Linked DNA regions of Kluyveromyces lactis. The protein of the gene in region 3 purifies or fractionates together with the protein of the main gene of each other region. This does not show direct contact. Links are inferred from orthologs where the notes say so. Each region holds a gene or a part of one and is shown on either strand. Other genes may lie near its edges. The genes, in order: LHP1, SEC65 and SRP68.

Region 1 (2,692 bases), on a different chromosome or scaffold from region 3:
TGATTTTTCGACTGTTTTTTGTTGGTATTATTATTCGAGAAACTATTTCAATCTTGTGAGATTTTTTAAAAAAAAGAACGAGAACGAGATGAAACTCAACATTGTAACAACAGTTGGAACGAACATACCCAGAAAGTTTCGTGATAGCGGAATCGGCAGCAATCAATTATCTGTTAAAACCAGACAGATCCAGTTAGAACTGTGAATTTGCAAACTAAATAATCCTGGATATGATCCATGTATTTAGTGAAATCATCACCATCAAATAAAGGAACAGAGCACCTGGATAACAATTGAGGGCATTTGAAATCTGTGTTCAAGTAGCAAACGACGTAGCGAAAATTAAATGAACGTTGTGTCAAGGTGCAAAGTGTACTCTTTGGACCAATTTACAAGTCCATACCAGTATACATGCGAAGTCAACGGTAAGAAATGTACCAGGATTCACGTCGTACAGGAATCTCTGCGAGGAAACGGTAAAACAAGAACCATAGTGAACACAGTGCGCGAACAATGTGAGGGGAACGGACTAATCTTGAACATTTCTTCGATGCCCCGGAACGACCACAACGACAATGACTTGCTCGAAACATACCCGGAATTCCAACAGACTAATCTTTCCATGCTTCAGTTCGATTCCTTTATTCAATTTATGTCTCAATTATGTACAGATCCCGTGACCGCATTGTCTAGATGCCAACCGCAGAATTCGGAAACGTCTACATCGAAGCAGTTGGCATGGGTCCTCATTGATAATTTGTCGCACTTATCCATGGACCCCAAATTCGACGCCAAGTTGCTCAACAGATCAATTAGACTCGTACAACAGACTTTCGGTTCTGTCGTTATCTCTACAAGTTTGCCCTTATCGTTCCATGGTGGTATAGAAAGCACGTTTAAACATCAATCAACAAAATGTGCAAGTGGTGACCGTCTGTTACCCTATTTCAATGAATCCGACATTATCCTATAAGCTCTACAAAACGCTGTGCTAGAAACCGTGTTGCCCTACTATGTGATCTTCTCATCTCTGCATGGCAAAAGGACATGGTTCTGTCTACACCAAACAATTTTTTTTTTTTTTCATGCATTTTTGAACATGGAAAAACGTTAAAGAATTACGAAATGACATTCCAATTGAAGTTATGATACAGGTTCTAATCGATACTGTTAACATCCTTGTCTTTGTGCATTGTAGCTTCCATTTCCTTTCAGAACTGGGTTAAAGTTTAAGGCTTTTTCCCTATTGTTTGTGGTCATTTATCTAGCTGTCTATTGGATTGTTTGGATCATAGCCGTAAAGAATCGAATCGCACTTCTCATAACAAGTTATACTGGAAACAATGTCATTTTCCCAAGAGATCCGTCGTCGTGGGTCTTATGCCCCAATCGATTTCACTCCTGAGGTGTCTCAGGCTTGCCGCAAACAAGTGGAATTCTACTTCAGTGAATATAATTTGCCCTACGATAAATTTTTACGCTCTCTATGCGAACAGAATGACGGATGGATTCCAATTACGACACTTGCGTCTTTCAACAGAATGAAAAAGTATAGACCTGTCGACAAAGTTGTTGATTGTTTAAAGGACTCGACGATTCTAGAGGTTAGCGCTGATGGTGAAAATGTGCGTAGAAAGAGTCCATTAGAGACAGTTGATTTTAAGGACAGGAACGAAAGAGTGTTAGTGTTTATGAACTTTAAGAAGATCGAAAATGAAGATAAAGATAAATTCCTAGAATTACAAGAAGAACTAGAGAAGTTCTTCAATGGGTTCACCACTGTTAACCAAGTTCGTTTGAAGAAGGACCATAAGAAATACTTCAACGGTGTTGTCGAAGTCGAATTCAAGACGAAGGAGGAATGTGTCAAATTCTTTGAGGAACACAAGACCGATTTCTCATATCAGGGACAACCATTGGAAGTTGTCACTAAGAAGCAATACAGCCTCGCCAAGAATGCAACTAGATCAAAGAATTTCGGTGGTTCTGGTCAAAAGACAAGATCATTAACTGGTTACAGGAAGAACATCCCAAAGACTAATGACGAAACTCCTGAAGCCAGTTCTGAATCAAAGCTCAGTGAAGGAGATGCCAATGCTCCAACTGAGAAGAAATCGGAAGAAAGTGCCACAGAAACTGCTTAAGGCAGTCCGGGCTATTCTCATATTGTTATTCTAAAGCTCTTTTTTCCGGTGTCAATCGAACTCTTTGCCAGTAAATTGTAAGAGGATGGATACCAATGGAATCTCCAAGAAAAGAGGTTTAACGAAATAATAAATACACACACTTATATATGATAAATAATGACATATATTAAGTTTTTAAGAAGAAAAATATAAAGTTTACCCATAAATGTTTTTTGTTTAAAGACTAGAATGGAAATTGTCACTTGTATCGATTCTTATCATTCAAATAGCTCTCTTCACATTCAATTTCCTAACACTCATAGTCTGTCTGTCTTTAGGATCGTACCATCCACCATTCTCGGTGGGGAATGGTGCAGGGGTTGCATAGTTGTAATCTGAAGGTCTTGTGTATGACCAACCTGGGGTGATGGTGGTTTTTTGCTGCAAAGAATTGATCAGCGAAGGGAAGTAAGACACCGCACTTGTCGCGTATCTTCTTGACCAAGTCTCCAAAGTTACAGTAGAACCCGGTTGTTGTTGCATTGGAGCAAATCTGGAAATACCCG
Region 2 (2,708 bases), about 930 kb from region 3:
ATAATTCGTTTCATATCAACGAACGATTTCACGTCTTTCTTACCACTGTTTTCTTTCTTCTTAATGTTCTCTTCGAGCTTTGTATGATCTTGTGGATCATCATCTGATTGTTCCGAGTCCGAGTTGCCCAGGTTCACCTGAGAGAACCTGTCCAAGTATGCATCCGGGAGTACAAACTGCGATTTGTCCATAGTCTTCGGCAGATCTTGAAATAAATCAATGGCCCGCAAATATTGTCGAGACATATCTTCCCCAGTCTCACAGCCGTGCACAATTATGTCCTTGTAATCGTACTTTTCTTTACTTCTGGTCGTCACTGCTTCAGTATTGCCTATGGTGGTACTCTTTAATTTGATCTCAGGCTCACTAGGAATTGTCGATAACGTGACAGTGTTGGTCTCAGCTGCATCCAAATGCAAAGATCCAATAAACCTATCCACCTTGAACAGTAGGTTTTGAAATATATCATCTGGTAAATCCATTTCGTTGACGTCCAGCGCCGTATCATTTACGCCAAGTATCTCACTGTCATTTTCATCGACAATTGTATTTGGATCCTCAATCTGACCCTCATCGGCGGTCTTATTTTCAGTTTGTTGGCCCATTACCGAACTCTCTTTGAGTTTCTGCTGCCAGAACGCATTGAGTTCTCCATATAACATCTCTGTCGCATGGTTCAACGATGACTGGTCCAATTGACCCGGTTGTACCCCTTTCCTATGAATACCGCCTATATTTTCAGAGGCGAGACACCCTGCTTGATCTTCATATATATCGGATGTATTGGGGTCGATTATTGAATTTCTGCTCGGCCACGCGGTCCAATCTTCTTTCAAGACGGTCTTCACAAACGTCTCGGTACGTAATATGTTCTTCTCATCCTTATTCGCTCTATACAATAAGTGTTTCAATAGATGCGCAGAGTATAAATGTACTGAAAGATCATTCCTTTGTTCTTGATCTAGCGTTGCTAACAGATCTATGGCATCACGGGCCAGTTGTGAGTCCATTTTACCGAAACAAAACCGAATAAAAAGGGACCGGTACAATGTTAGCTACCCACTTGAAGTCCAGCGGCTACAATTGCTATGAACTCAATCATTAGTAGCTGTTTGGATTCATGTTAGTTGATCCTCTTTAGTTCTCTATCCCTACTAAACCTTTAAATTCAATTGAAAATTTTTGATGAGCTTTAAACAGTGGATAAGAACGACCACTTCAAAGAGTTGGAAACAAAGCAGCATCAACCAAGCAATAGTTAAGGCTACAGTATTTGTTAGGGATATTTACACACAATGCCTGTGATTGAAGAGATCGATGATATCGATGATATCGATAATTTAGAGATGGATCTCGCAGAATTGGACTCCACGATGAAGACACCAGTGGCACCAAAGATCGTACCCACTGTGGTTAGATCGCAAGATCAAGAAGAAGAAGCATATTCTGCTGCAATTTCTGGTAATGCAGGCAGCGGTAGTGGGTTCAATTTTGTTAATAGCACCACCGGTCAAGTGGAAAAGAGTCATTCTTTGACTAAAGAAGAGCTGGATGAGATCAAAGAATTCCAGATGTTGTATCCATGTTATTTCGACACTAGAAGGACGCATGCCCAAGGGAGACGTGCTCCAAAAGATCTTTGTGTGGAGAACCCATTGGCCAAGACGATAGCAGATGCTGCCAGATCGCTTGGAATTCCATCAATATTCGAAGGATCAAAGACACATCCACAAGATTTTGGTAATCCGGGAAGAGTACGTGTGTTGATCAAGGAAAATGGAAAACCATTTGTGAGTGGAATCGATAACAAGCGAGTATTGATGAAGCGTATTGGAGAGTACTTGAAGAGCCATCCTACAACACTTGAGAGTGTAAAACAGCTTCCATATGGACCAGATTTTGATAACGTAGAACCGAAGAAGATTCCTTTATTGAAGGGAACAGCAATGAATGACATCGTGCCATTGCATAGTCCATACTTGACACAGCATCCAATGACAAAATCGCTATATGATGCTCCTCCACCTCCGCCTCCCGCGCAGCAGGTATCTGCACCAGAGAAACAAATGAAGATGCCAAAGAACAAGTTCCGTGTAGTAAGACGTTAATGGAATACTTCTGTCATTTTTATCACCAAATATCTAAACAAGAAGCGGCGTTTCCCAGTGTCTGTTTTAAATATGTATAATTATATATGTTAAGATAGATTCGAGGGTGATATTATGCAGATGCACCATAAGTTTGACGGTATTGTTCCATCTTTTCCCTTTCTTCCACAGAGATTCTGCCATCCAAGTAGCTGATAATGTTTGACAGGTTGACAATACTTAAAACTGGGATGTCATATCTCTTAGAAACAGATTGAGTAGCACTTAGAACTTCGGTGTCTTCGGTGTTAACCACCTCTTGTCTGTCTAATGCGATAATGGATCCAACAACTTTGCCTTCTTCCTTGGCAATGATCTCAAACGCTTCGTTGATTGCAGTTCCTGCAGTCATGACATCGTCGATGATCAAGATTTTTTGGTCCTTTAGTGCAGCACCAACGATATTACCACCTTCACCATGGTCCTTGGCTTCCTTTCTGTTGAAGGCATACTTCACATCTTGGAATTTCGAACCACCGATTTCAGCTAACTTCACACAAACGATCGATGCTAATGGAATACCTTTGTAAGCGGGACCGAAGATGACATCGAACTTCAATT
Region 3 (3,724 bases):
AAAACATCTTTCTAGTCACGGTGACCATTACTAACACCAACGATCCGTACTGTTCCAAAGTGTAGAAGATAAAGCATTGACCGATTGCGCCGCAACAGGCGTATGCCAGAAGATAACGACTAATTTCTGGATCCGCATGTAACATCTTCAAACCTTTTGCCAATTGTTGTCTATCAACTAGAACCATATATATTACGTTCCATACAATTAGGAAGAAGTTTAATGCAAACATGAGATGAGCACCAGTGATCTTATAAGTGGCCTTCTGGAATAGCTTATCCTGTTTAGCGTTGGTTAATCCATCAAGGAAAAGACTGCTACCCAGCAGCACAAAACCAATCAACGAAGAAGATGAAGAACTCTCAGAAACGTCATTCTCAGTCATAGAAGGTTTATGTCCATCCAAAGTGAATATTGTTATCCCAACCGTTACCAACAGTACCACTAATTTCTTACTTCTTGGAATTGGTGTACGGTACACAATCAAATGGACCATCAGCACCGGTAAAAGTTTGCATGACTTTGCCAACATATAAGTCAAGAAATCCACATAGCTTAACGAGTAAGCAGCTAACGGAGCAGAAATTGCCTGGGATAATGAAATAATCGCCATATCCCTTGTATGACTGGTCCAAAATTTCGATAGAGAAAGCACAGGTTTCTGCCATTTTATATAGATTAACCCACAAATCATAGCAATTGTTGCCTGTACCAATGCGACTATGTATGGTACTTGAAACGTACAGCCAGAGTTCGGCCATACTCTAGTGTTCAAAGGCTCTTGCAATAAACCCCATGTCAAAAACGAACAGTAGATTCCTCCTACCGCGAAAACATGTTTCAATATATGACGTCCCATTACCAACAATGTAACACCTTATAAGCTTGCCAGATACGTTTGTTGGGAACGAACTTGCTCTTTTTACCAGATATATCTCTTGTTTGACACCTTTTGTTATTTCAAGTAGAAATGATTCAAGATCGTTTCTATCACAGTGACAAATTTCAAACGGATATTGAACAGGGAAATCTGCCTCGAATTGTGTCTTAACACGGCTTATAAGATAAATAGTAAGCAGCAGTATCTGATATGGAAAGTCAGGTACCAATTGAGCAAGCGATGCATATACTGTTCTCTATTTTGTTCAGATCTGGCAACGATTTCCTCATCTTTCACCATAGTTAAGCTGGAAAAATTTTTTTATTTGAAATTCGTAATCGATCTAAAGCTACTTTGAATAATGTTGAACCATGACTATTTGAGGTCTCCACCAAGTTTAAAGGGTGTATTGGTTGACTTATTCCTTTCACAAGACTTCATCAATTGACTTTAAGCTATTAAGGAACAATGGTATACTCTCCTTTGGGTGTTACCTATGGGTTCAGATCCAATTTATTGTTAGAATCTTTTGCAGATTACCATAAATATCATAAAAAGGTTAACCATAAGTTACAACAATTGAGAGGCCGTTTAAAGTTGATTTCCAAGGATTCTAAGAACTATAAGGGCCAGGAGAAACTTGATAAGATTACGCATGAGGATTACAGTAAGAATCGGTTGTATGGATTCTTAATGCTTTTGTTAGCAGAAAGAGATGTGGCTTACGTAGAAAGTATCAAGGCCACAGGTAGAAGCAGGGGCCACTTGAGGAGTCTTGAATTGAAACTCATGCGTACCAGGATAAAGAAGGCCAATAGGTACTGTGACAGACTTATTTCATTGTCTCAAGGTGAGGACAAGTGGCAGATCCAAGCAGAAATAATGATATATGAAAAGTTAATCCGGACCGAATATGAGCTGTACGGTAAGAAACAGGTCAAATTCTCCGATGCAGAGAAGATTTCTACCCATCTAGCATTAGCACTAGCTGCGGTCAACTTTTTAGTTGATTCAAAGCTATTGAAGGAAGGCGTGGCCGATGCAGTGAAGAGCAAGTACCTGTACATTTTCAAAGAGAAGGCCAATGCCTTTTCTGTCAGAGATCAACAAACCTATATTTCAAGAGTCATACAGGCTAACCCGGAAGACCAACTTTTGCAATTGTTACAATCTCATGGGTTCTCTTTCTCGGTTCCCGAAACTGACGCTTCAAAGAGTCAATCCCGTGAGATTTCATGGAGATCATATTCCGCAACGATAGAAGACAGTAAAGTGTTTGAAGTGTACAGTGAATTGGCTGAATTGCACAACTCCAGCAAGCTTTCCAATTTGAACGATAAACTATTTAAGTGGAACAGAGCCATTGATTTACAAAAAGAATATATGACGACATGCTCTGAAGATGATACTGACGAAAACAATCAAATTCTCTTGACTTATCTACAATACAATGCCATGGTAACCGGTGTAGAAAGAGACAGCAGCTTGTTCGAGAGTCTTTTGAAGCAATGGGAAAGATTTGACAATAAGTCTTTTACGAGCAAGTTAAACAAGTACAAAGAAGTGGACCATATTATCAAGAACTTAAAGAGTTTGTTAAGTCAGATTATGGATCTACCGGGTGTTTACTCAGACAGCGACCTAACAAACCAAGTGTTCCTCTTGAAGACTTACTATGAAACTTGTTTCACTTCCAAACTGCTAGCAAACATATATCAATCGAAGAAGAAATACGTGGAATCACTCGCCCTATATGTCGACTGCTTACAAAGAATTGAAAACGCCGAAGAATCCCTGATAAACTGGGATGAAATCTATCTACCATCCCAGCTACTCTCGAAGGGGAAGATCACAGACTTGAAGAAATACATCACTACCGGATGGAGATCTGTTGTTGCCCTGGCAGAGCACAAGAAATCTATGGAAAAGAACAAGAAAACCCGTCAATTCGAACCATCTCTAGTCGAGATTTTGGAAAGCAAAGTGAGACCAAGTGACGTATCCTTGGATAACTTGTACCCACTCGCACCAAGACTTCTTCCAATTCCTCCAAAACCTTTCCTCTACGACTTGGCTTACAACTACTTCAACATACCAGATTCTACCTCTGTTACAGAAGAGTCGGTATCTTCAACTACTGCTGAGGCAAACCAAGACGATGAACCCGTCAAGGAATCGAAAGCACCATCCAAGAAAGGTTTATTCGGTCTTTTCAGAGGTTAATTATACCACAACTCCCATCCAAGACGATTATAGTCAACATAGTTAGTATTTTTGTAAAATATATACCGTCCCAACATCAAGATAAGATAGCTTGGAGATAATTACCGAAGGGAGCCTAGTTCATGACATCGGTTCAGAACTGGAGCAACAACAGTAACGCTGATGGAGGAGGAGGTAACCAAAAGTGAGTTTTATTCATGGTATCTTCCTTCATTTAATCGTGCTTATAATGAACTTTTCATGAGGAAAGACTTCAGAAATTGAAACTTTATCTATATAACATTCACCCTAAAAAGATGGAAGAAATACAGGTTACTCAGGCAATAGAGCCAGGCAATAAATCGTATATTAGAGCTTTATCAGTGGTGTTTAATTAAGGACAACATTTACTCTTATCCTAGGCAGTTTTAGGATGACACTCCGAAGTTGTATTGATGATCTATTTCACAAGCAGTACGTTTGTTGGGTGTGTTTAGATACGGAGTGTGAGAACGACGACTGGATCGTACACCAATGCGGTTGTAACTTACAGGTACACAGAAAATGTCTAATAGGATGGATATTCGATCTAAATAAGTCGAAGCTAGGGAGTTACTATACTTATGATACATACAAGATTAA

The links.
Region 1: the proteins of SRP68 (region 3) and LHP1 purify together in Saccharomyces cerevisiae (affinity purification with mass spectrometry; 3 studies listed by BioGRID). This does not show direct contact. The link is inferred for Kluyveromyces lactis from reciprocal best matches to the Saccharomyces cerevisiae genes SRP68 and LHP1.
Region 2: the proteins of SRP68 (region 3) and SEC65 purify together in Saccharomyces cerevisiae (affinity purification with mass spectrometry; 5 studies listed by BioGRID, with this or other methods). This does not show direct contact. The link is inferred for Kluyveromyces lactis from reciprocal best matches to the Saccharomyces cerevisiae genes SRP68 and SEC65.

The regions. Positions count from the first base shown.
Region 1 is NC_006041.1:128,586-131,277, forward strand, and holds LHP1 (tRNA maturation protein LHP1), read left to right. Parts: upstream 1-1,343; coding exon 1,344-2,144; downstream 2,145-2,692. Other genes in the region: PSY3 (Psy3p), read left to right, coding at 347-973; KNH1 (Knh1p), read right to left, coding at 2,409-2,692.
Region 2 is NC_006040.1:164,717-167,424, reverse strand, and holds SEC65 (RNA-binding signal recognition particle subunit SEC65), read left to right. Parts: upstream 1-1,295; coding exon 1,296-2,108; downstream 2,109-2,708. Other genes in the region: RRN9 (Rrn9p), read right to left, coding at 1-1,010; orotate phosphoribosyltransferase URA5, read right to left, coding at 2,221-2,708. UniProt on the Saccharomyces cerevisiae protein: Signal-recognition-particle (SRP) assembly has a crucial role in targeting secretory proteins to the rough endoplasmic reticulum (ER) membrane.
Region 3 is NC_006040.1:1,096,436-1,100,159, forward strand, and holds SRP68 (signal recognition particle subunit SRP68), read left to right. Parts: upstream 1-1,348; coding exon 1,349-3,103; downstream 3,104-3,724. Other genes in the region: UDP-galactose transporter HUT1, read right to left, coding at 1-859; KLLA0_D12892g (uncharacterized protein), read left to right, coding at 3,516-3,724. UniProt on the Saccharomyces cerevisiae protein: Component of the signal recognition particle (SRP) complex, a ribonucleoprotein complex that mediates the cotranslational targeting of secretory and membrane proteins to the endoplasmic reticulum (ER).